2 linked regions of the Notamacropus eugenii genome follow. The protein of the gene in region 2 purifies or fractionates together with the protein of the main gene of each other region. This does not show direct contact. Links are inferred from orthologs where the notes say so. Each region holds a gene or a part of one and is shown on either strand. Other genes may lie near its edges.

The links.
Region 1: the proteins of NIPSNAP2 (region 2) and HADHA purify together in Homo sapiens (affinity purification with mass spectrometry; 3 studies listed by BioGRID and IntAct, with this or other methods). This does not show direct contact. The link is inferred for Notamacropus eugenii from reciprocal best matches to the Homo sapiens genes NIPSNAP2 and HADHA.

The regions. Positions count from the first base shown.
Region 1 is NC_092872.1:527,177,737-527,187,694, forward strand, and holds the start of HADHA (trifunctional enzyme subunit alpha, mitochondrial), read right to left. Parts: upstream 4,390-9,958; 5' UTR 4,255-4,389; coding exon 4,188-4,254; intron 17-4,187; coding exon 1-16. UniProt on the Homo sapiens protein: Mitochondrial trifunctional enzyme catalyzes the last three of the four reactions of the mitochondrial beta-oxidation pathway.
Region 2 is NC_092873.1:43,382,038-43,391,800, forward strand, and holds the start of NIPSNAP2 (protein NipSnap homolog 2), read right to left. Parts: upstream 4,470-9,763; 5' UTR 4,460-4,469; coding exon 4,332-4,459; intron 2,278-4,331; exon of another isoform or gene 2,263-2,277; coding exon of another isoform or gene 2,246-2,262; intron 639-2,245; coding exon 499-638; intron 420-498; coding exon 374-419; intron 1-373. Other genes in the region: MRPS17 (small ribosomal subunit protein uS17m), read right to left, coding at 5,914-6,219, 7,566-7,688. UniProt on the Homo sapiens protein: Protein involved in mitophagy by facilitating recruitment of the autophagy machinery required for clearance of damaged mitochondria.

The sequences.
Region 1 (9,958 bases), on a different chromosome or scaffold from region 2:
TTGCGGCAGATATAACCTATTGAGAACAAGATATCAAAATGAAACCCTTTGAAAAACTTCTAGGTTTACAGATAGAAGCTAGAAGGTAGATCAAAGGTACATAGATAGAAGCTACAACCTAGATAGAAGGTATATCAAGACAATTTGATATTAAGTTTTCTCAGAGCTGTATCCATTGGCAAATTTTATGACTTGGCAGTTGAAATGAATATGTTAATCTTTTGTTATCAAGCAGTTTGATCCTGAGCCTGTAATCTCTCACCATATTCTCACTGTGCCCTAGTCATGTGTTCACCTACTCATGAGATGTGAAAGGTTATCTCAAACAGCAATATGACTACAATTAAATGAAACCTTTTATATCTCAAAATTTGTTTTACTGTAAATAATTTAATATTTTCAAATATCCAAATACTCAAAGTAGTATAAATCTTCAAATAAGACCTTAAAATTGTAACAATTTGAAAATAACATCAATTTTTACAAAACACTAACATCAATATTTTCAGTACTCCATTCTGTTCTTTGCACTTATATAATTTTGTAGCCTTTTAAAAATATGATTATGGTCAATGTGACTTCTTTTGACTTTGTTTTACATCACTTCCCATATGTCTTTCTATTCTTTATGTCTGCTATTTTAATAACAGTACAATAATATTCCATGATATCTATTATTGAACTATTTTCCATTATTACTGAACTATTTTCCCAATTAATGGAATACACAGTTACTAGTATTTTGCTATTATTTATAAAGCAGCTGTGAATATTTCTGTAAATATAGGTCCTTTCTATCTTTTAAAAAATATTATATTTTTTCCCCAATTACATGTAAAAACAATTTTCAACATTCTTTTTAAACATTTTGAGTTCCAAATTCTCTACCACCTCCCCCATGCAAAGATGGTAAGCAAGCTGACATAGGCCATATGTGTGCAATAATGTAAAACATATTTCCATATTAGTAATTTTGTGGAAGAAAACTGAAACAAAAAAGGTGAAAAACAGTATGCTTTGGTCTGCATTCACACTCCATTAGTTCTTTCCCTGGAAGTGTAGCATTTTTTATCATGAATTTTTTGGAATTGTCTTGGATATTATTGCTAAGAACTGCCAAGTCATTCACAGTTCTTCATCATATAATACTGCTGTTCTTGGTGTATAATAATATCCTGGTTCTGCTCATGTCACTGCTTCAGTTCATGGAAATCTTTCTAGGTTTTTCTGAAAGCATCCTGCTTGTCATTTCTTACAGCCGCTTCAGTGAACTTTGGCCTATATTCCAGTCTGCCAGCTAAGAAGAGAGTAACCTTTGCCCTACTTTCTAAACATGGGAGCAGACTGAAACTAATATCTTCCAAGCTTTATGAAAATATGTCTTCCACCAACTGTCTTCCCCAACTAGGGTTCCTAAAGAAAAACAGATTATGTTGAAACTGCAAACAATATTTTGGAAATGAAAGCTTTAATCATTTTCTAAATATCTCAAGTGAGGGAGGGAGGGAAATGGGATTAAGTTAAAAAGGAAGAGGGCTAGTAAAACTACCCACTTTGCCAGGAAACTGCCTTCAATTTACAAAAACAATGTTAATTCATATAACACTCACATAATTTGAAAGCTATATTAGAGTGAGGTAATAACTTTTCCCTCCATTGCTACAGAAGATAAAGGGTTAAGAATTCAGTGTTACAAAGTTAATTTTGATTAGATCAGATTCACTAGGCAGCCATTCAGCAGCAAATTTACACAAAGGTCATAAAGTCATTAGTTCCTAAAAGTGAGAGGTCAATTTCTTATCTTTAAATAAGTTGATAAGTTATTATGTTTGAGTTCAGGGAAATTTAAAGCAGAAATTACATTCAATACACAAAGGCAGAAAAAAAAATCTCCAATCATAACCTTCAACTAGTCAAAATCTGTGGCTGGAGTAAAAACTTTAAAATATTTTGTGATTATACTGGATTAATGATCTCATTAGTGTAGATACTCCCAAAAAAGACATGAATTAACACTTGCCTTCCTATTCTTTGTAATTTTTGTAGGTGTTTTTTTCTGTAATTACAATCCCAGTGTTTTCTTGGCCTAGACATTTACTATCATTTGTGTGGTGAATTCTAGATGTGAAAACTTTTACCAGTTCATCTGTAATTTATAATTCAGAGGTCAGCCCAGAAGCAGATTAAGGTTAAGTGACTTGCTTAAGGCCACATAGGACAGTAGGTTTCAGAAACAGGACTTGAATCCAGGTCTTCCAATGTCCACCACTAGCCCTCCCTCCACCTTTAATAAGAGTATTATATATATATATAATTTACATATAACTTCAAAATATGCAGAATGCTTTACATATATTATCTCATTCGACCCTCATGAAAAAGGAGGTTCCCATATCATCCTCATTTTACAGATTAAAAAAAACTGAGGCTGAGAGAGGTTAGTTAAGCAACTGTTCCAGTTACACAAGGATCTGAGACAGGTTTCCTACTAGTCTTCTTGACTCCAGGACAAGCTTCTTATCTACCCACGCTACCTTTTTCACACTAGACCTTTCAACATCAGCACAAATGACAACAATTTTTAAATGATAAAGAACACAGAATCACAGAATGTTTCAGCTGGAAAAGATCTCAGAGATCAACTTTAGAATGGAAGATTGGAATCCAAAATCCAAAAACTCATAAAGATTTGTGGTAAAGTAGACAGGACTTCAGATCATCTGATTCCAATGCTCTAACACTGTAGTCGGAAGACTTGAGTTCCAATTGCATTGTTATTTATACAGCCTCATCTTTTGATGCATTAGCATATCATAACTATCCGAAGAGAAGTTAAATAAAACTGCAGGGCTCACCTTCCTATGGTGACAGAGTCACACAAAGTTAAATGGGAAAGAAAATCCCCCAAGTTCACACTTAGAAGTCACCTCACCCACATTAATTCTTTTACTGCCAAGTTACTCCAGAAAGTGACTTTTTTGGGGGTCAGAACTGCTTTTTCCTCTACTCCATCAGAAATTCCCAATTCAAACCTGCTTGTAATTTAGGGTCTTAACTGAGGTGCCTTAGAGCAGTCAGAAGCAACCCTTAGCCCCTAGTCCGGTTCCTGGCATGTAAAAACTACATAAAAATTCATGCTGAACTGAACTGAAATCAAAGCAATCCAAAGTTGTTCCTTTAGCCATCACATCACTCATACGGTCTCTTAATCGCTGTAAGATCAGTGGAGACTGGATTTTATTGATTTTATGACCAGGGGAAACCCTCTCTACCAATGCCAGCCAACCTTTTCCCTGCAGTTTACAGTCTTAACGGCCTAGTGTACCGAGAGGTTTAAGTGATTCTCACCCCGCTAGTATGGGTCAGAAGCCGGATTTGAAACCAGTTTTCAAGCCCAGCTCCCCATCCACTATGTCAAGGTAAGCCCCACCTGCCGCAAAAATAGCCTAATTCCTGCAGACAAGTGGGGAACTCCAACCAACCAGCACCGTCCGCTCCACTAAAGTGGCTTCTCACACGAGGCAGGCAGGACAAGCCCCGCACCTGCTCTCCACGAGCGGGTACTTCACCCAATAAGCGCCAATACGTGCAGAGCTTTTTCAAGCTGGCAAAGCACGTAAAGCACCTTGGGATCCATGTAATTCCCGGGGGTCGTAGCTACGTCCCCATTTCCCTGATGAGTCACAGAGGCTTAAAGAGCTTTCCCACTGCCCTACACGCCATGAAGTGCCAGACCTGGGATCTGAACCCCAGCTCGGAGGCGGGCACCGGCCACCCGGACAGCTGAAATGCAGGGGCCAGGGAAGGATGGGCAAGGGGCAGATCTGGGGGCAGCGGTGACTGCAGGGGTCAGGGGTCGGCGACAACGCTGACTCTGCCCGTGACCTTGGCCAAGTCCCTTCCCCTCCCCGGGCCTCGGCTTTCTCGGGGGTAGGAGGGGATGAGGTGACCTCGGACGTCCCTTCCAACTCTCTGGATGCTGGACCCCCCGGGGAGTGGACAGGGAGCGGCTGCCGGCTGGGCAAGCAGCGACACAGGTGGGCGCCTCGGGGGCTGGCGGCTGGGCTCCGCTCGGGGGCGGGGTCAGGGGAAGCGGCCCGCATCTTCTGCCTCCCTCCCCACCCACCCTCAGGGGGTCTCCGGAGGCCGGCTCCCTCCCCTCCCCGCCCTCCCAGCAGCGGCCTCACCCGGGAAGCGGCGGGCGCGGGAAGCCGTCAGGCGGCCGAGGCTGCCAATTGCCCGGGCGGCCACCATCTTGGACGGGAGAGGGCGAATGCGAGCTCGCGCGGGGAGCTGGGCAAGCCGCGAAGCAGGGGTCCTCGGTGCCAGGGACTCTGCCCGCTCGGGCCTGCCCGGTACACTGCCGGAAGGGAGCCGAGGCAGGGACGGAGCTCCCGCGGGCACCCCTGGCCTCTGCTCGGGCGGAAGCGGGCGGAAGAGCCTCCCGTCCTAGTCCCCGGAGCAGAAGCCGCCCCTGGGCGGAGGGGCGGGGCTCGGGGGAGTTTCTGTCAGGCGAAGGCCAGAACAGCCCGCGGACGGGAATGCGGTTGTGGGGCGGCGGGGGGGGAGATGTGGTGAAGCCCGGAACGTAACCGATGGGCGGGGCGGGGCGGTTTATAGCCGGCGGCGTCTGGTCCGGCCCGTTCACCTCTAGTTGGCAGGATCGCTGTGGGCTGGAGGTCGGACAGCCGTAGAACTGAGGTGAGCGAGGAGGGAGCGCTCTTGCCCCCGAACCCACCCGACCGGGGCCTCTTCCTCCACGCCCCATCCCCGGCCCTGGCTCGGCCCCCGGCCCACCCTGCCCTGGGTCGCGATCATGGGGGACGGGGTGTGGACTGGTGGATGGGACTGGGGCACGGTAACCGGGTGACTCGTGATCGCGGGAGGGTCGTTTTCCCTCTCTGAGCCTCAGCTTCCCTGTCTGTAAAACGAAGGGGTTGGGCCTCGGTTTGCGAATCTGTAAAACGAGGGGATGGAGCTTCTCCTCGGGGCCTTGGTTTGCCCACCTGTAAAATGACGGGATAGACGGCGGCCTTCCGCTCCCAGTCTTTGCCCCAGCCTCTCTTCTCCAGATCCTGGAACCTCCCCCACCCCCCGCACGCAGCGCGTTTTACGAAGCACTTTCCTGCGGGCAGCTCCGTGGGGGGTAGACTGTGACTATTACTATTTACTTATTTCTCTGCATAAATCTACTCTGTGTTCTTCGATACGTAGGTTGAAAGTAGGGCCCGAAGCCCATGGCTGTCAGCGTCGGCACGGAGTCTCGAACCCAGGTCCCTGGGCTTCCAGGTCCGGCGCCTTTTAGAACGCAGACGGAAATCCCAGGCGTTGGCCCGAAGCCTGTTTTTGACCAGCTGTTGCTGGCTTGTTTCCTTGCTGTGAGCATGTAGTAAGCGGGTAGATCGCAGCCTCCAGTGAAGCCCAAGCGTTGTTTGGGGCTGCCGCCGTAGACTTAGAGCGGGATGGTGAGTGGTGCTGGTGTGCCTCAGCTCCGGAGCACCCCAGGGGAGCACGGCCTCGGGACAGCCCACGTCGGGGCGAGGCCGGGGTCTGCGAGTGGCTGCTTCTGGCGTGGGCGGGGGGAGAGGAGAGGAGAGGTCAAGCAGGATGGGGAGAGAGCAAGCGAGAGAAAGCAGTTACTTCTTACGATCCTAAAATACTTTCTGGTGCATGAGAGGAGGTAGCTGAGGTAGGATAGAGTCCTGGGCACTTCATTTTGCCTGCGAGGGCCTCAGTTTCCTCATTTATAAGATAAGGAGGTCGGACTAGATAATGTCTCAAGTTGTGTCGCTTTTTTTTTTTTTATCTTTAGGGCATCCTCCCCAAACAGGCAGAGCCGGTATCCCAATTTGCACATCTGGTGCAAATACTTCGGTTTCATAACCCACTAGGCAAACAACATGTGTATTTGCTGAATCTTAAGAAGGAAGTTGACGATCTGGAGCTTTGTCCGTAGCTTGACCCGTAGGAAACCATAGCATAGAGGGATGAGGTGAAGGAATTTGGAATATCTAGTCTGGAGAAGAAACTTTAACAAAAAACTGCTTTGAAAGGTTGTCCTGTTGAAGAGAGGGGTGAGATCCTGGAGGTGGAAACCTGGAAGTATTGAGTAAAAGTTGCTAAGATAAGTTTAAGCTCAAAACAGAATTTTTGCTAATGTGGAAATATTTTGCATGACTGAACATGCACAACCTATATCCACTTGCTTGCCTAATCTTAAAGATGGAAAAAGAGAGGGAGGAAAAGAATTTGGAACTCAAAGTTTTAAAAAATGAATGTTAAATTTTTGTTTATCTGGAATTGAGGAAAAAATAAAAATAACATCTAAATATGTGTTTGTATATATACATGTGCACATATACATAAAATCTCTTCCAAGGATATAGGCCCAAAGTGAAATGAGATGCCTCCAGAGGTAATGAATTTCCTGTTATTGGACATCTTTAAGGTAGATTGGGTGACAGTTTGTCACTGAGTTTGACTTACTTGGGTACAGGTTGGACTAAACCTCTCAGGTGAATTCTGAGGTTCTATGAACCTGTGAAGGTGTGGTTCTCTGAGGCTGAGTATTACCTGAGATCATGAAACTTAGCAAAGCAAGGACTACTTAACTCAACTGGGGATATAGCAATAAAAATGAAAAGTTTCTGCTCTCAAGGATCTTAAAGTCTACTGGGAAAAAACAACAGTTGCACAGTTAGGTAAATACAGAATATATACCATCTAAATACAGAGTAATGGGCTGGAGTTGGATTGGGGTGGGGGGAGGTAGGAGCTTATAACAGCTGTGGTATAAGGAAAGGTCTCCCGTAGGAAATGACACTTGAGCAGTGTAAGGGAGCTATGGGGGTTTAAGAGCAAAGGTGAGGAAGAAGGCACAGGTAAGATATGGAAATAATTCAACAAACTTTTGTTAAATGTTTACTCTCTATAGAGCACTGGACTTCTTGCTTTGGAGAGATACAAAAATTACATAAGTCTGCTTTCATGAAGACAAGAGACTGGTCTGTTATCTTTAAGGCCAAATTTGAAGTCACAACTTCCGAAAGCTTTCCTGGACTACTCGAAATGTCATGCTGTCGTCTCCCTCTCCCAAATCTTGTTTAGTATTAGATGCTGCCTTACTGTTACTTATGTTATTTCCTATATACATTCCCGTCCTTTCTCCTCAGTTACATTGTCAGCTTCTTGAGAGACAGTTGGTATATTGGATCTCAAGTATGATTTAGGATCAGTAAGACCTCAATGTGAATTCTGCCTCAGATCTAGTAGCTATGTGACCCTTAGAAAGTCACTTAACTTCATTCAGCCTCAATTTCTTCATCTATAAAATGAGAAAATATACTTATCGTATATTTATCTCACATGTTTGTTTTGAGAATTAAGTGAGATTAAACTGCCATTTCCTTCTAGAGCTCATTTTACAGATGAGGAAACTGAAGCAAACAGGATTGACTTGCCCAAGAAGCTTTCCTTCCAGTTTAAATCAACATATACTGTAACTTCTTTCATTAGAAAACCTTTGAAATTAATTTACATATATATTAAAGACATTCTTGATGAAAATATGAGAAAGGAACAGGCAGGCTTTCACAATTTTTACTTTTTAAAAATATTGTTCTTACTAGATTTTTCCCTTCCTCTCTTGGAGAACCATCCTTTATATCAAAAAATCTAAAAGAGGGGCATGGGGAAGAAGAGGGGAAAAAATTCAGCAAAACAAACCAAATTACAAAAAAATCTTTAGTGTTCCATATCATACCTGGGAAACCAGGTGCTCCCTTCAAAGAATGGGGGGTGGGTGAGGAGAGAGATATCATCTTAATTTAAAAATATATTTTGACAACTGTATTTCAGTGTATTGGTTTCCTTTGTAGTCCTTTATACTTTATTTTATGATTTAACGATATTCTGAAAAAGCTTTTACAGTGGAGGGAAAGAGGGGGAAGGTGAGAGGGAATGAATGAACTTTATTCTCATTAGATTTGGTTCAAGGAGAGGATAACACACATTCTCATTTGGGTATGGAAATCTATCTTACCCTGCAGGAAAGTGGGAGGAAGGGGATAAGAGAAAAGGGGATGGTAGAAGGGAGGGCAGATTCAGGGAGGAGGTAATCAGAGGCAAACACTTTTGAGGAGGAACAGGGTCAAAAGAGAGAATAGAATAAATGGGGGGCAGGATAGGTTGGAGGCAAATATAATTAGTCTTTCATAGCATGACTGTTATGGAAGTGTTTTGCATGACTACACATGTATAACCTGTCTCAAATTGCTTGCTATCTCAATGGGGGTGGAGGAAGAGAGAGAATTTGGAACTCAAAGTTTTTGAAACAAATGTTAAAAATTGTTTTTACATGCAACTGGGAAATAAGATATACAGGCAATGGGGTATAGAAATCTATCTTGCCCTACAGAAATATAGAAGGGGAAGGGTATAAGAGAAAGGGGGTGGTGGTTGTAGAAAGGAGCACAGATTGGGGGAAGGAATAATCAGAATGTACACTGTCTTGGGGGGAAGGGAGATATGGGGAGAAAATTTGGAACTCAAAATCTTGTGGAAATAAATGTTGAAAACTAAAAATAAATAAATAAATATTTTTTAAAAAAAGAGTATTCTGAGAAGATTACCCAAGAGCTCTGTGACACAAACAAGTTAAGAACTAATGTTGTAGATGGTGAGGTGGATTGTGTCAAGCCTCTGGAATAGTACAAAATCTTCTAAATAAAATCCTTAATTACTCAAAAGAGTTTCACATAATTATTCATGTAGAAAATACCAAGTGGAAGAAGAATACCTGTTATCCAGATTACAATGAGCATTTAGAAGGGCAGCCTATAGAGCTGACCTATGAATATATGTATCTTAGGCTTTGAATGTGAAAAGGGTATTGGACAGAATTGAATAAGAGAAAAGCCATGGGCTAGATTAGCTTACATTTTGGGAAATGCTTTTAGTGACCTCCAAGCATTAAGCTGAAACAGAGATCTATCTTTTTAACATAGTCAGTATTCTGGTTGTGATGTCCTTTGAGAGTCAAGGAATATATCACAGCCTCTGCCCAAAGAGAAATGGACAGATACATAGGGGACATAAATACACTACACTTTATTACCATGGAAGAACTGTATAGCGGAATCTTGTGGCAGAAAAGATAGCACTGGAGAAGTGAGAGATGTTTGAGATAAGGAAATGGACCAGGCAGTTTGGAAAAATGTCTTATGGGTAGCTCATTCAATCTATTCACATATACATAATATCCAGAGATTTAAAAGAAACCCTCCGGTTAGTATGTGGGGTGCAGCCATATGGCAGATTTATAACAGGACATGGGTAAGAAGGATAAATTCATGGAAATTTGTGGAAGTTTGATGTGAAATGAAAATTATGTTTCTTATCTAATAATACAGGAAGTAGAGGGAAAAGGATAGAACTTAGAGAAGAAAAGACTGATAGATATTTGGTACTAATACAAAGCCAATGGGTTGGGGAAAATTTTCCAACTCTATTATATTTGAAATCATAACCTTAACATGTTAGAAGCTTTCTCAGATAGGTAAATGACCTTATTTTATTAAGGGTACTTTGCAATGTTAAGGAACAGTTCATTTTCTTGGTTTTAAAGAAAGATCCTTTTGACCACAACCTAAGTAGAGTTTGTGTGTAAAACCACAGTTTCTTGTGGTGGCATAGGGAAGGTTCTTAAAATAGTTATTTTGAGGGCTAAGGATAAATGGCATAGCTTTTATCTAAAATATATATATGCATATGTATATGTATATATATGTATATAAACCCAACCAAAAATGCACCATCTTTCTAAGAGATGACTATCTTTCAGGGGTAAGAGATTAATTGTTCTTGGATTGTTTTTGGTTTATTTTAGGTAGTCCTTTGAAAGTTATGGAATAGATCAGCAAATATATATGCAGTGTTTCCTTTGTGTCTCTTACAGGAA
Region 2 (9,763 bases):
AAATTTCCACGCTTTTCAAAACTACCTTACTTTCTTTGAATCATGGGAGAGGTGAGAGTTACAAAATCACTTTTACCACATGCCCTTGTATATCATAAAGATGAAAATGTTTTATACAAACTTCATTAAAAGTCAATCAGTCCAATTCTCCCACTTCTCCAAAGAGATGTAAATTTCAAGAGAACGGACAGGACTTTATATCATACTGAGGTGATTTCCCTCCTGCTCTTTTCACTTTAAGTAACTTTCTTACACAGGACTCAGTTAAACAGAGCTTAACAGAAATGCTCCCATTTTCCCTCCAGTGACTCGCAGAGGAGGCAGGGCGCACACAAGTCTCTCCCTCAAGCCAAGGGTTGTTTGGGCTACATACCAGATTTTGTTGTATGCTTCCAGGCATTCTGGCTTCACATTGTGAACTGAAACAAGGAAATTAATAATAAATTTATGAACAAAGGAAGGCAATTTAAATATTAAAATGTAAAAAACCTCACTTACACTGTAATTTGTACAGACTGCTTGTTTCTTTTTTGGCTAGGAGATTGGAATGAGCATCTTTTCGTGGGTCAACTTTCCGGACAAATAAAGATTTTAACCAACTATCTTCACGAGGTCTGTTGGAGGAAGTTGTCAGGCCCCTGGGAATGAACAGATATGTCAGTGCAGGTTGAATGAGAATTTCAGTGGCTTATATGTTTTTTAATTAAGTAGCGTCAAACTACTATATTATTCACAGAAGACACTATTAAATGTCCATCTCCCAGACTTACTAACCATCTGACCTTTGCAGAATCACTTAGCCTCCCTCAGCCTCAGTTTCCTCATCTGTAAAATGTGGAATCATAACCTTGCAATCCTTACTTCAATAAGTAACTTATAAAACTCAAAGTGCTTTACATACACACGAGTTATTCAAGCCATCTTATTAATTATCATAGTATTATCAAAGTTTACAAAAAGTTATTCAAACCATCTTATTAATTATCATAGTATTATCAAAGTTTACAAAAAGTTATTCAAACCATCTTATTAATTATCATAGCATTATCAAACTTTATAAAAAGTTATTCAAGCCATCTTATTAATTATCATAGTATTATCAAACTTTATAAAAAGTTATTCAAGCCATCTTATTAATTATCATAGTATTATCAAACTTTATAAAAAGTTATTCAAACCATCTTATTAATTATCATAGTATTATCAAACTTTATAAAAAGTTATTCAAGCCATCTTATTAATTATCATAGTATTATCAAACTTTATAAAAAGTTATTCAAGCCATCTTATTAATTATCATAGTATTATCAAACTTTATAAAAAGTTATTCAAACCATCTTATTAATTATCATAGTATTATCAAACTTTATAAAGTTATTCAAGCCATCTTATTAATTATCATAGTATTATCAAACTTTATAAAAAGTTATTCAAACCATCTTATTAATTATCATAGTATTATCAAACTTTACAAAAAGTTATTCAAACCATCTTGCCAAATCATCTTATTTTGTCTAATCAGAAGAGGCCAAGTACTAGTTTATGAAACTATTTTACTCCCCAAAGTGACGTCCAAGTGGAATGAGAAAGACTTCAGCAGACTGTATTTTCTACCAGAGCACCCATATATAAAAGTTTTTATTTCAGGATTCTAGGAATGCATTTCTCCTTCTAAAACAACCTTTGACAAAGCAAAATTTGTGTAAAGAAAATGAAAAGTACCTCAAAAATGACTTTTCACTAAAGTCAATTCTACTCTAATTAAACCTAAAGATACAAACACTATCACACAGGACAGATTGGATAATTTCCATCTTCCAAATGAATTTATAACAGTCAACCAATCAATAAACCTTTATTAAGCACCTACTATGTGCCAGGCACAGTACTTTGGTACATGTACCCTGTCAGAGAGACCAGGTAGGCACTCTTACAAAGTGGTACCAGTCACTGAACATTCCCTACAAACCCTGCTCCCACCTTCTTATCACTCTGATGGATCTTCATTGTCTTGGCCCAAATCGACTACTCTTCCCATGGGTTGGATCCTACCACCTACATTAAAACTTTTGGATTCCCACTGCCCCATAGATCAAGTTCAATCTCTCAGCCCAAGCTCAGAAATGTGATCTGTACTCCACCCGAAAGGAGTATCAAATGAATCCTGAGGATCATCCCTGGATAGATTATTTGTAACTTCTTTCTCCATCTCTCAGTAAAATGAATTCAACAAATATTGTCTCACCTTACTGGCTGTGTCATGGCAATTATCAGTTTGTGAATCACAACAAATGTGCCTAAATAAAAAATTCTGGAGGAATTTCGTTTTTCCCTAAGAAATCACATCCTAATATCCCCAGGCCTGTGCTGTAGGGCTTTCATGTAGGCTTCTGAATTTAAGGAAATGAAGACAATGAGAACTTAGTCACAGAGTATCGCAAAGTGTTACTTTGTATACTGTATCCATGTAGCCAAGGAGTCTGACAGTTCTGAACAAAGCGTGGGAGGACAGGCCCTAACAATAACTGTGAGCTAGCAATTAGGAAGGTGACCTTCAGGGCCAAGAAATACAGGGAAGAAAACACTCAAGGATACAAATCTCCCTTGGTTTTACAAGATAGATACACATGCTCATAACTGAAAATCCTGCAAATTACACAAATCTGTTCTTATACAACATATCCACCTACTATGCAAAATTGTATTTTCCTTATTCTTAAGATTAACTTGTTGCTTTTATAAATTTACTGGATTTGTCTTCCTCCTATCTCCAGTCATTAAAAAAAAATAAAGCTGCTCTGGATTTTAATGGCTTTTATATATCTCAATCCATAGACTATATTGACTTATTTAATTTCAATTGTCTGAAACTACATGGGACAGCGTTTTGAAATATGTAGCTATATAAACATATGCAAATATAAAGACAGTAAATAAGAATACTTTTTAAATATATAAAACATTTTCTTAAGATGGGCTTGGGGCATTAGCAGAAAAAAGTGATTCTTAAAATACATTATTGAAAACAGCAAAAATTGTTCAATAAACAGAATTACATTTTTCATAGATTAATATATGTAGGAGAGTATCTTGTAAACATTTAGGATCTGTTACTGGCACACACAAAAACCAAAATCAAATATTCCGGAGCATAATCTCTACCACATCTTTTTAAAAATGAAGTTAGGTTTTTGTCTAATCTTAAACTTTTATTGTCTGCATCTATTAAACTTTATCAGAAATTTCAAAATCTAAACTGATTGTCTCAAAGCCCAGTATATAAACAATGTTCTCTGCCTTTTGAATTTAGATTAGATTACTTGCCTTTTCTGAAATTAAAACAATATTTCTTTGCTTTATATCTTTAGCATTTAGTATCTTTAGCAATTCCTTTATATATAATAAGCACTTTGAGGTGGGCAGTTTTCCAAAGAGCCAGAGCAAAACGTCAAACATTTCCCTAAAAAAAAAAAAAGAAATTCTCTTGTGGTAAAGGTTAGAACGGATTTCAGCATGTGAAACCAAGAAGCATTCAAGTGAATGCAGAGGCATACACTTCAGAGTTGCAAGAAGGACCTGTGAGCATTATTTCGCTGCCATGTTTATTTTCTATTCTTGTTTCACCGTTCCCTGGGTGCGTTGCGCTTAATGTACCTGGTATAGCATATGCTTGAAAAGAACGGGATGGGACAATATCTACACACAAAGAACGCTGTCCGGGACTCCCCGGCCCAGGAGGGAGGCGCAACGCCGCTCGCTGCGCTCTCCAGAAGTTGCTCTGGTCAGTTACATGTCACTGACGAATGTCAGTTACACACAAGGATTACGTGTCACTCGCCCCTTCGAAACCAGCGGATGCAAAGCTAAGTGGACAGCGGGAACTCGGAGGTCCAGCCCGCGGCCGGAGCATGAAGCCCGGTCCGGGGGAGGACAGCGTCACGGATCAGAGCCCAGGCTGGCACTGACCTGCTGGCCCGAGGGCGACAGCGGCCAGAGCGGGGGTCAGCGGGGATCGAGTCGGACGCCCGCAGGCTCCCCCGCGGCCACGGCCCATAGTGGGGTCGGGCCTGGCCGCCAGCTCCCGCACCCACGGTCACGGTCGGCCCCCAGCCCCGCGCCCCCTCCCTCCCCCTTGGCGTGGCCCGCAGGGGGAAGGGTCCTTAGGCCCCGCCCGGCTCCCGCGTGGGGCTGGAGGGGCGCTCGGGCCCCTGCTCGTGACCTTGAACCCCGGCCGGGGCACCGGGCCGGGGGAGGAGCGCCGCCGGGCCATAGACCTCACCCGTCCCAGCCCGGGGTTCAAGGTCAAGGCCGGGCCGCCAGGCGCTGCTCACCTGAGGGCTGGCCGCAGGCGGGGGGGCGCGGCCGCTCCCAGGTTCCGCAGCACTCGCGCCGCCATCTTGCTCTGGCGCCTTAGCTCGGCCCCCCCACCCCCACCCCGGCCCTCCGCCCCCTCCCCCATGCCAGTGCCGCTCGACGGAGGCCGAAGGGGCGGGCCCGGGCTGGGAGGCCTGCGCTGCGCCGCGTAACGCCGCCACCAGGGGGCGTCCCGGAGCGCCGCCCCGCGGCGGCAGAGAGCAGCTGCAGCCTGAGTGCCCTTGGGTGCACTTGACCTTGACCTTCGAGGGCAGGCCACGCCTTAGAGAAGCGGCAGAGCACTCCGGCCTAGCCTGGGGAGGCAGGCGTTACTGGAGGCTCACTTCCAAGGAAGGCAGGTTTGGGGCCGCAGCCGAGGCCGAGACCCTCCCGGTTCACACCTGTTCCAGAAGGGGGTTGTCAGCGGTGGTCCAGCAGCTCCTGCATATTGGAGACATTCTGGGGGGAAATGGCTGAGGGAGGGGGAATTTCCTCCCTGGGGGCCCCCTGTACAGATGGCACAAGGCAACAAAATCTGCTTTAACAATGCCCATGGACTAAATGCCCGTGCTGTCCCACCGGACTTCTGACCTCCGCCTACGCAGGACACTTGAACCGAATGAGCATTTCTTTGCCAAGTCAGTATTTCCTTATCCTAGTTTTTGATTTTACATAGACTCCACACTAGTTAAAAGATGCTTATTCCTTTGCCTTAAAATACATTGTTGTTTCATAGTTCAGAGGTCAGTTTTCCCTCCAGGGCTGGATTCCCAACAGGACATGACTGTGAAATCCAGCTCTACTGAAGAATTGTCTAACTTGGTCAAGACAAGTCACAACCTTCACCCCTGCAGGGCACAGGTGGGCACCTCTGGGTCCCCCCCAACCTATCCAAAAAGTGCTCCTCATTAAGAACAACCCTTAACTACTTGGTCTGAAAACAAATTCTAGCTGTGATTTTATCACAAAAAGGGAAACCTCATTTTCAGTAATCTTAGAAAGGAATGAATGAACATTCTGCTTCTTGGAAATAAAAAATGTTGCTAGGGTTCACTTTTCCCAACCCCTTAAAAGTTTTTTATTAATTCAGCTTAATCTATATAAATAAATCTGGCCATAAAATTGAACAGTTTCTTTCCATTTAGTATGAGAGGTGAGAGAAAAATAGAATACAAACCACTAAAAATAAAATTCCATTAAAGTACTTCCAATATTTTACTATTAAAAAAAGATAATTATTTACAAACATGTCCGTTCCCTATGCTCCCCTCCCCCTGGCTCCTGTGTTATTTTAAATTCCATGGACCATCAATCCTATTTTCCAAAACAACTGGCTTAGTCAATAATGCGCCTGTTAATAAGGTCAGAGATTCTAAGAAACTGATACCCACACTGTCCTTCTGATAAGGTGACTTGAAACAGTCACTATCATTGTGGAAAAAACATGCTCTTGAAAAAGTCCCTTACTTATTACTTTTCGATGCTTCATCTACAGAAGTAGGATGGCTGGAATGGAAACATTTACAACAGCCTCCCTGGTCTGCATGTTCAGCGTGTCCCTCAGCAGGCTTGTTTGGGGCTCTGTGCAGCTTTGCTGAGGGATTCTTTCAGACTTTCAGACTCGGGTTTGGTGGGGGGTGGGAGGGCAGCCTCAGAGCTTGTTGGGCTCTCCAGGTACATGGTTCCTGCACAGGGTTTCCCAGTAATTGGGTCGATGACTCTTCCAACTTTGAAGATGATCTCGGCCAATTCATGTTTCACGTGCTTGGCTCTTGGCACTGGCAAGGCTTTGAGGAGCACGATGTCTCCGACTGTGCACTGCTCTGAAGCATCATGAGCAAAGTATGTTTTTCGCTTATTAAAGTACTGTTGAGGGAAACAGAAGGGTCAAGTTTAAAGTTAAATCACTCGTCTTCATAACCCAATAGTAAAATTGAACAATTCTGCTATTTGCTCTGATGACATTGTGGTCATATTCTGAGCTGTGAATCCCACTCCTGGGACTTGACTCCCAGGATGTATTAAATCCACAAGATTCCAGGAGCAAAGTGCTTTCCACACATCTCTTATTTTCATCCCATAATCATCCTCTAGGTATCCCTAGCCTCATTTTACAGATGGGGAAACTGAGGCTAAGAGGAATAGATAGACTTGCCTATGGTGGCAAAGCCAGCATCCAAAGTAGAAATGGAACCCGACATACAGACTTTTCTCTCTGATCACTAGTCATACTCCATGTTCACCACTCACATGGACTTTTTAAATATTTTTAGCTGCACTGTCTGCTAGAATGAAAAATGGTCAACCACTTGGAGCCAGGAAGACATAGTTCTAATGTGGTCTCAGTTACTAGTTGTGTGACCCTGGGCAAGTCACTTTACCTGTTTGCCTCAAGTTTCCTCTTCTGTAAATTGGGGATAATGACGGCAGCTTAACAATGCACATAGATTAAATGTCAGTTCTGTCATGCTAGACTTGTGAAGATCAAATAAGATAATATTTAAAAAGTGTTTGGCACAGTGCATGGCACACAGTAAACACTATATAAATGTTAACTATTATTACTGAATATCAACTGGAGGATGGCTGAATAAATGGTGGGACATTACCGTAATGAGATACTATAGTAAAGTGACATAATAAAGCAAGCAGAATTAGGCAGTGCACAGAATGCACAGAATGCTGGGTCTGGAGTCAGAAAACTCATCTCCCTAAGTTCAAATCTGGTCAGATACTCACTAGCTACATGATCCTGGGGGAGCTACTTAATCATGTTTGCCCCCTCTGTCAAGTGAACTGGCGAAGGACATGGCAAACCACTCCAGTATCTTTGCCAATAAAACTCCAAGACGGACACAACTGAACAATAAAAACAACGCTACACTATGACCAGATATTTAAATTATGTATATAAACAGAACTGACTGGTTAAAGATTAGAAACACAAAGGGCGTAATATGTAAATTATTAACTTGTTAAAGTAGATATGTGTTCACAATGAGTTTGGCATGTAATTTATGACAAAAAGTTTTTCTAAAACAAGTTCTAAAACAAGGATAGATTTGAGTGAGCGTAGCCAATAATGATTTTTCAAACATGAAAATGACTTGGCTCATCTACGAAGGAGAGTTAAGGAACTAATCTATCCCCGTGACCTTCTGCGTTTTGTGTTTTATACATCTTATTTGATGATAAATAATAATAAGATTCACCTTGAGTAAGTAGGGGTCCAGAACAAGCCTGTTGACTTGCACTTTGGCAGTTCTCTGCATTGCTGTCCCAATCACCTTCCCCACTATCCATTTGGCATGGACAGTAGAACGAACAACTGACATTTTGTTATTTTGTCACCTAAAAAAGAAATTTCAAAGTTTAAAAATCAGTCTAGTTGGTGGTTATGATTTATAACATAAGTACATTTCCTTCTGTCTAGAGGACTACCTAAGTCCATGGACACAGGAGAGGTTTAGCCAAGTTTCATACTGCTTGCTACTTTTACTCTCACCCAAAGAGAAGTTAGGAGATGAATATGGAGAAGCCCTTCAGTCAAGTACAGAGAAGAGAGTAGGGTTTGACCCCAGGTTCTACCAATGACTGGGACTGGCTATATGTCAGTAACAGGAACATCCCTTTGCCTCCTCCTGACCTGGTGCTGGCCTAGATTAGGGGATGTTAACCTATTTTGTGTCACCAATCCCTTTGGTAATCTGGTAAAATTTATGGACCCTCTTCTCCTAATTGTTGTTTCAGTCCTGACTCTTTATGACCCCATCTGGGATTTTCTTGGCAAAGATACTGGAGTGGTTTGCCATTTCCTTCTCCAGCTCATCTGACAGATGAGGAAACTGAGGCAAAAAGGGTAAAGTGACCTGCCCAGGGTCACACAGCTGATAAGTGTCTGAGGCCAGATTTGAACTCAGGAAGATGACCCTGACTGACTATAGGCCTGGCACTCTCATCTACTATACCACCTAGAATTCTAATACTGTTTTATGCAGCACAAAAATAAAACAAGTAGGATTACAAATGCAAAGAATTATATTGAAATAATGATCAAAATAATTAAAAAAAAACAAAAACAAATTTATTGACTCCAGGCAAGGAATCCTTGGCCTAGATTTCTTGAGGTCCTTTCAGTTCCAGACTATGACAAGTCTGCATTTCTATGAATCTGAGTACTAAAGGTGAATAAGTATAGGCTTGAAAAGCCACTTGGCTTTTTTTCTTCTTGGAATCTGATGATAACCACTAGATTACAGATGGTTGGTTGGCTGTTGTCCTTCCTCTTCCGAAGAGGACCAAAATGACATCCCCATGATAAAGTGAAGTTTCAGTGTGTCCCACTGTGGCTGATCAGACCAATACAAGCTGGGAATGCTCTGCCACAGATAGTCCGTGGATATTTTGGGTAGATATCCTAAATTTGCGCAGCCTACATTTACTTTGTGCTGTCTCAATTCTGCTTTGCTCAAAGAGCACAGCACCCTTCCACCGAGCCTCAAACCCTGCATTTTACAGAAAAGGAAACTGAGGCCCAGGCAGCTTTAGTGACTGGTTCCAGGTGGCAGTTACTCCCTGCCCTCAAGGAGCTCTGGGACAACTCGGGGATGACCAGAAGGGAAGGCACTGCGATTAGAACGGCTGGGGGAGGCTTCCAGCATAAGATGGGACGTTAGCGGCCAGGGAGGTCAGTGGGCGGGGCGAGGGAGTGGCAGCGTGGCCGGCGTGGGGGAGAGGATGGAGGGGTCCGGCCCACGGAGCCGCCAGAAGGGAGGCGGCGGTCACCCGATGGAAGAGTAAGTATTGGGGGGGAGCCACCGGGCGACCTTCGGGATTCGCTGCGGGAGGTTACTGAGCAGGACGTGAGGGGGCGGGGAATGGCTAGAGACCTCGGCCCGCCCCCCGCAGGTGGTTCCTCTGGGGACCTCAGACCTCCGGCTAGGAGGGGCTGTTCACGGCCGGGGACTGCCGAGCTCGATGGCACCGAGCGAGGCCTTCCGGACCTTGGCCTCAGTTTCCTCGCCCGTAGGGCCGGGGGACGGTGGCCTGAGGGTCCCTTCCAGCCCCGGGCAGCCCAGGCCGCACCCCGAGTCTCCAGCTGGGTCGCGCTGCCCTCTGGCCTTGAGCCTTCCTGGGGCTCGCCCTCCTCCTCCTCCTCCTGCCCGGGGCCCGAGCGTCGGTGTCGGGACTCGCACCCAGGCCCGCCACTTCCTAGTCCCTCCCGCCGCCCCGCGGGGCCCCAGAGGGCTCGTACCCCGCTGGAAACACGTCCCAGGGTCCGACAGCGACGCCTCCACGCACCGCCCTGGGAATGTTCCCTCACATGCCGCCCGAGACCCTGACCTCTGAACTCTGACCGAGCGCCTGCGCGCCCGGACGGGCAAACGTGGTGACGTCACGCCGACCGGGG